2 linked regions of the Arabidopsis thaliana genome follow. The protein of the gene in region 1 interacts with the protein of each later gene in a pairwise test. Each region holds a gene or a part of one and is shown in the gene's direction. Other genes may lie near its edges.

Region 1 (3,757 bases):
TCAATTACTGTAACAAAGAGAGGTTTAAGACACTAAACCATCTTTTCTTTTTTACAAAACTCCCAAAGTGCAATTAAAGAAAAAGCTCCTTTCGTGTTGTTTGTCTGTTTATAGAGAGAGATTTGGAGCTACTTTTTTGGTGTTTTCTTCTGTGGTTTTTTGTGTTTGGTTCAAAATGATGGTCTTGACTCTTGACAAAACCAGTTTGGCTCTTGTTGTAAAATCTGTTAGTTTATATAAAGACTTTTCATTTTTGTGTAATTGGGACTTGTCGAAGAAAATAACGAATGTTAGTGCGAAATCTAACAACATTCAACCAAATGAAGGTGATATGATGGGCCAAGAAACGTGGGCTGGATTAGGCGTTATCAGGCTTCAACAGCTCAGTTAGATTATAATAAGATTAGAAGTCACGTGAGTGAAGAGACATGACATGTAATGTGAAATTACGAAGTCGAACACTTTGCGTCTTGGGGTAATCGTTAGGGTTAGGTTTCGTGTTCTACGAAGCAAAGAGCATAAGAGACAGAGAGGCATCTTTTGGGAAAGCGGTGGTCGCCGTATCTCAATTGAACCAAAAATTAACCAATCTCAAGACCGATCCGATTCTCTTTGTTCCCTCTCTCTCTGGGTCTCTTGGTGTTCTTTTAATCTTTTTTACTCTTTCCCGTTTCACGCATTTTGTCCACTCGTGTTTGGCGGCACACGACATCCTCCAACAAGATTATTGAATTGATATTCTTAAAACTCATCAATTTGATTGTTTTCCTTTTGTTGAACGAGTGAGGTTTATAGAAAACACAGTTGATATTTCATGTTTGTAATAAAATGAAATGAATGTTGGTAAATAAGATAATGAAACTCAAATAATAGTATATATAAACATAAAACGTACAATTTATTTATTCTTAATATTTTTTTTTTTAGTTGAGAGCTTATAAAATTAGTATAAAAACGTTACACATTTTGACGTACCCCATTACGATAATTGATCCAAAAATGGGTCGGCCGATCAAATTTAAAATTATTTGATACAAAACCTTACTTTGAAAGCAAAAAAAACATAGATCTGTTCTTGGAGATAACGTAACTTCGTTATTTGATCCAAAATTAGATAAAAAGAGAAAGAAGATAAAGGATAAAGAAATAAGAGCTTAGAGCTACAGAGTGTACTCATTTGATGGGTTCATTCTCTTTGTACCCTTTTTCTTTTAAATTTTAAATTTTGGTTGGAGTTTGCTTCTTTGACTAAATCAATAGAAACATAGAATAACTCTCACCAAGCTAAAGAAAGAACACAATGTAATTGCTTTAAAATCATTGCAAAGTATCTCACTTTGTCTTTATTCCTTTTTAGTTCACTTATAACTTGAACATTGGCTAGTTTTGTTCTTTTAACTCCTTAAAAGCACCGATCTTGGCGATTACGATCTCTCATGCTTGACCACAATCGTAACAACAATATTCAATCACATACAAAACAAATTTTTTGATTAAGGTTAAAAACAACATAATTATACGTCATATACAACATTTTATTTGTATTATTACGACTGTCGTTAGAGAGCCACTGAAATTGTAGTGCGGTGAACATTAACAGTGTCGCACACTATTTGAATTTAGAACATAAAATGGATTCATGCATATATGAGAGTATGACACGTCGAATTGGTGAAGCGAGCGATGACGTGTGGAAGAAGAGATTCGGAAAGAGAAGGAGCGTTTAATTTCGAGATGATCGTGATCAGAGAGAGACCAGATCCTTGGAAGACCGTGACATTGCCAGTCACGTGCCTCTTTTTTGACTACCTTCCTCTCTGCTGCTTTAACTGCAGATGTACTTATCATTTATTTTCTTACTTTACCATTTAAATAATATATCAAAACACTGTAGTTTGCTTAGCATTGTTAAACAAGACTACTCACTTGGTACTTGGTCGTGGAATATTATACGGTATGCAATGAATTTGCATAATAATCTAGATTCGGAGCAGTATCATTAATTAATTTTGTTAGGTTAAAACGTTTTGTTATTAAAAATCGCTTAGAACTGAACAAAAACCAACACATATTTAGAATATTCATTGCAACATCTTTGTAGACAAACTAAAGGAGCAAATTCACATGTAAATCTAAAGAACAAAAGAATAAAGCATAGATTAATCATACACACATAATAAGACCGGGACCAAATTTTCCTCTTTTGCCAAGTTCCCAAATTCTCTATAAATACTTCTTGTCTCCATTTCACAACAGCAACGTGGACTCTTTCTTTGTTTTGGCTGACTCTTCTTTCACCGTTTCCTTAGAGAACTTATTCATCTCATAAACACCACACACAACACACACTTCTCTTTCTCCTTCTCTCTATATATTTTAATATCAACTTTCTAGGGTTTCCAAGTTCATATATAGTGATGGGTTTCTCAATGTTCTTCTCCCCCGAAAACGACGTCAGCCATCATTCCTCTCCATATGCTTCTGTTGACTGCACTCTCTCACTTGGAACTCCCTCCACTCGCCTCTGCAACGAGGATGATGAACGTAGATTCTCGTCTCATACCTCCGACACCATAGGCTGGGACTTCTTGAACGGTTCCAAGAAAGGCGGTGGAGGCGGCGGACATAACCTCCTCGCTCGCCGTTGCGCCAACTGCGACACCACTTCTACTCCTCTTTGGAGAAACGGTCCAAGAGGTCCCAAGGTATTTAATATGTAACCTTTACATCAAATATTTTATCATTTCTTGATGTGGGACTAATATTTCTCTCTGTACAACAAAACAAATATTGATAATAACTTTATATGATTTTTAATTTGGTCAGTCGTTGTGTAATGCGTGTGGAATCCGATTCAAGAAAGAAGAGAGACGTGCATCGACCGCCAGAAACTCGACCTCCGGCGGAGGATCAACTGCAGCTGGAGTTCCAACTTTGGATCATCAAGCAAGTGCAAATTATTATTATAACAATAATAACCAATATGCTTCATCGTCGCCTTGGCACCATCAGCATAATACGCAGAGAGTTCCATATTACTCGCCGGCCAATAACGAATACTCATACGTTGATGATGTCAGAGTTGTTGATCATGACGTCACAACCGACCCGTTCTTGTCTTGGAGGCTTAACGTCGCCGACCGGACCGGCCTTGTCCACGATTTTACGATGTGATGAGTGATCATTTCATAGATATTCCCCTTATAAGTCTTAGCCTTGGATACCTTTTAACAAAAAAGAAAAGTCTTAGCCTTCGTTAAATTCTTTATTTTACTTTCCTTTAAATATAAATATTTAATGTCTTTTTTTGGTCTCTGTGTAAGTGTTTTTCTTAAATTTATAATTCGTATGATGGATGCTACTTGTGTTTTCCTTGCATGACTTTTAAAATGTTCTCTCGGGTAATGAACTAATAATTCGTGACTTTATAACCTTTACATGATGTGTGTCCTACTTTGACCACGATTCAGTGATATACTATACATATACAGAATACATATTCATTCCTTTAATTTCTTTTTAAAGCATCTTTGGGTTTTTGTACGGAGAATGTGAATATTTTGGGATGCAGATACTATCTTCACAAATACTTATATCTTAAACGTTTAATTTGTGAGTTTCTTTTCCAAATTGAAATAATCAAATACTTGGACCGAATTTGAAAATTAAGCCAACAAATATCTGCAGGGTGGCCAAGCTGAATGTTTGTCGTGTTTTGCCCAAATTGTCTTGGAAATTTGACCATCAATTAGGTCTT
Region 2 (3,757 bases), on another chromosome or scaffold:
TTCAGGCGTGAGATGGAGCCCATCACTGCTTATAGCCAACAACAACGAGCAAGAACCATTTATAAACAACAAACATGATTGAGGAGGAGATGAGTGTTTGTGAAAAACCAACAACATTTCAGATCAGACTTAGATACAGACCTTAGGTACTTTTTCTGCCAATCATTGGTTTCCTGCATCTTAGACCATAAGTTGACACATCGCAGACCGAGTTCCTCGGCCAATGCAACACAATGTTGTGCATATACCCCTGTTGTTTCGTTTGTTCTCTCAGGCTCTTTCATAGCTTTCTCACCGTAGATTGATCTGATGTAACACAATCACTGGCTCATTTAAGAAACATGTCGGACTAAATGCTTTGAGAAACAAAAATGCAAAGAAGAAAAGGATCATAATAAAGCCTACTCTGCATAACTTTGACGTCCAGCTTCATCAATTGGTGGTGGAGTTATAAGCACAATTAGCATTGTAGGTGAACATTTCTACAAAACAGAGTCATTAGTCTTTAAAGGAATCACACTTCAAGAAAAGTAAGTCCATGCATTAGAGTGGATCAAAGAAGCATATCAAAACCTTCAAATGCTGAACAATCTTTCTGACATTATCTGTGTACTCTTCCACCGGCACATGTTGTCTATCACTGGTTCTTCCTTTGAGAGCTGCATCGTTTGCACCGAAGAATATCGTCGTAGCAACAGGAGGAGACGAAGAGCCCTAGGCAAAAAGACAGAGTAGAACACATACTGAGATAGGCACACCAAAACAACACGCACTACAAGAAGAGTTCTCATGATATATGCAGATGTAATTGCCTTTTACCATCTCAAAATTCAAATCTAAATCTTTCGTACTTCAACCAATCCATGACAATGTCATAAAACCAACACATCCTAGAATCATATCAAAACCATTCAGAACTGAACCATAACAAGCATAAGCAAAACAAAAAATGATGCACAAGAGACAATAACTCAAGATCTATATCCACACAGATCATACACACAATCACAACAGCTCATGAACAAAATCATCCCAATGACTACCAAAATTCGTTCGTGTTTAGATCAAATTTCAAATCAACATTTGTAGACTCGAGGGAGGGAGAGAGAGATAAAAAGTACTGACGAGAGGGAAGATGTGATGAAGCAAGAAGAGAGCCCATCGGGTGTTGTAGCCGCCGTAGCCTCGAACCACAACATCAGCCTTGCGAGAGTAAGCGTCGGCAAGAGCAGATCCCCAACCGCCGGACCTAAAAGACTGCGCCGTGATCGAGTCGCCGAACAGAACTATCTCCGGCCTCATCTCGCTGTCTCCCTCCGGTTCACTGAGTAAACCGTTAACTGTATTAGGAAACTTAAAGTCTCTTCTGGGCCAAATCATATGGGCCGGGCCTTTAGTATTAATTTGTTATATTTTTGGTGAATGAAAAGGTGGTAATCTAAAGAGGTTTTACTAATTGTAGATTAAGGATGCGTGTAATGTTTTAGTATTAGTTTATGATTTCTTGATTTCACATTTTTCTGTCTTGAGCTTAAGTCAAAACCTCAAAGTGAACTTCTACGTAGATGAAGTATTGAAGTGTAGAAGTTAAATGCGTGAACTTCCACAATTCAACTACAAACACACTTTTACCAAAAAAAACTACAAACACACACAAATAATTTAAAAATAAAAAAAGAATTCTACAAGTTATTGAATATCGGTTTGGGTCGGTTAAATCTTGCATCCCATTCCAAATTTTCTGGTTTGTTCTTCGTTTTGACTAAACTTGAACCGATTGGTTTGACTTTATTTCGGTTTTTTGTTTTAACTTATTTAATAATAAAAATCCACCGAACTATTATTTATATAAAATATAAAATAAAGATTTTGAAAGCAAATTGACAAAATCTTAAAGATATGCAAAATCTCTCGATTTCATTCATATTTTTTCCCTCTTTTATTTCTTTCTTTCTTTCTTTCTACTTATATAAATGGCCCAACCACTGCCACCATGGTTTCACATCATATCTTTCTCTTCCTTTTTCTTCCAAATCCTCCAACATTCGTTGATCAATGGCTGAAGTTATGCTACCGAGGAAGATGGAGATTCTCAACCATTCTTCAAAGTTTGGATCACCGGATCCTCTTCATGTTCTTGCCGTCGACGACAGTCACGTTGATCGTAAATTCATCGAGCGTTTGCTCAGAGTATCTTCTTGCAAAGGTAATTATTACTCATATTTTGAAAAATCAGTCTCTGAATTCGGGCAAGTTATCTGAGTAAAAAGCTCTGTTTTGGTTGTTCAGTTACTGTTGTTGATAGTGCAACAAGAGCTCTCCAATACCTTGGTTTGGATGTTGAGGAAAAATCAGTCGGTTTTGAGGTATAAAACAATTTCCAAGAGAAAACAAAATTTTGCCGTAGCTCTCAAGCAATATGTTAAATCGTGATTTGTGCTTCAGGATTTGAAGGTTAATTTAATTATGACTGATTACTCAATGCCCGGTATGACTGGATATGAACTCTTGAAGAAGATCAAAGTAAGCAAACAAACATATAATGATATAATTAGTCAATGGAATTTGAGTTTTATGTTTATCTAATCCTTTTTTACGTGATTTTCCACAGGAATCCTCAGCTTTTAGAGAAGTACCGGTGGTAATTATGTCCTCCGAGAACATTTTGCCTCGTATTGATAGGTATAAAACTTCATCATAATCTTAAGTCAAACTATAGTAAATTTGGTGAATATCTTTGTCTTAGATGATCAAAAAAAGAATTAGATAAAACAAAAAGGGATTAGATCACAAAGTAAAGTTCCTGCTCATATGGTTAAAAGTTAATTTCCTTAAACCATTTTTGGTGGTGGATATTGCATAATTAAACAAATGTTGAGATTTGGTGATCTTTAATGGGTCCCAAGATGATTTTGTGTATAAAGATGTTTCTAACCAGCAAAATCTTTACTTTGGGATTTGATTCTATTTCTGGTGATGTGATATTACAATAAAATAAGTACATGATCTTGCTTGCCTAATATTTGGTAGGGTATTGTGAAAGCCACCTCACATGCTTTTTCACTTTGCATACAATATTAGGAAACCTCTAGACCAAATAAAATAAAAAGGAATATGTATTTGTGTTACACACAATGGCCAACTCAATTACGAACTGGCCATTTTATGATTGTTTGCTACATATACAACAAAAAAAAAACTTATTGATCCAAAGCTATCATCAACTTTATTGAAATTGGAGTTTACTCAAACTGATTTTCTTGTGATTATTATTTTGTCATTCAGATGTCTTGAAGAAGGGGCTGAAGATTTCTTACTGAAGCCGGTAAAACTCTCGGATGTAAAAAGATTAAGAGATTCTCTAATGAAGGTTGAAGATTTGTCTTTCACAAAGAGTATTCAGAAGAGAGAGCTAGAAACAGAGAATGTCTACCCTGTTCACTCGCAGCTCAAACGCGCAAAGATCTGAGCTCTCCGATGCAAATTCCGTGACTGGATCTTAGAAAAAGCCTTTTCATATACAGAAGCTTCAAGACTCAATGCACTTGAGCCTACACTGATGATTCTCGCCAGCTTAATGACCTATACAATTTTCCAACCCCTATGGCCTTTTTCGCTGATTGAATTCAGTGGGTTTATTCATATAGTAGTAATGTAAATGGTATAGAGATGAGCAAAAGCTATATTATATATTATATTCATTAGAGGGGTCATAGCTTTTTTCCTTACAAGAGATTTGTAAGCTGGCTTAATAGAA

The links. The genes of interacting proteins can lie anywhere in the genome.
Region 2: the proteins of GATA19 (region 1) and ARR6 interact in a two-hybrid assay, tested with the Arabidopsis thaliana proteins (one large-scale study listed by BioGRID).

The regions. Positions count from the first base shown.
Region 1 is NC_003075.7:17,268,323-17,272,079, reverse strand, and holds GATA19 (GATA transcription factor 19), read left to right. Parts: upstream 1-2,080; 5' UTR 2,081-2,417; coding exon 2,418-2,705; intron 2,706-2,826; coding exon 2,827-3,174; 3' UTR 3,175-3,391; downstream 3,392-3,757. UniProt on the Arabidopsis thaliana protein: Transcriptional regulator that specifically binds 5'-GATA-3' or 5'-GAT-3' motifs within gene promoters.
Region 2 is NC_003076.8:25,252,457-25,256,213, reverse strand, and holds the start of ARR6 (response regulator 6), read left to right. Parts: upstream 1-1,895; 5' UTR 1,896-2,055; coding exon 2,056-2,206; intron 2,207-2,289; coding exon 2,290-2,366; intron 2,367-2,445; coding exon 2,446-2,523; intron 2,524-2,611; coding exon 2,612-2,682; intron 2,683-3,285; coding exon 3,286-3,469; 3' UTR 3,470-3,757. Other genes in the region: AT5G62930 (SGNH hydrolase-type esterase superfamily protein), read right to left, coding at 1-25, 142-306, 406-482, 574-714, 1,126-1,380. UniProt on the Arabidopsis thaliana protein: Functions as a response regulator involved in His-to-Asp phosphorelay signal transduction system. Phosphorylation of the Asp residue in the receiver domain activates the ability of the protein to promote the transcription of target genes.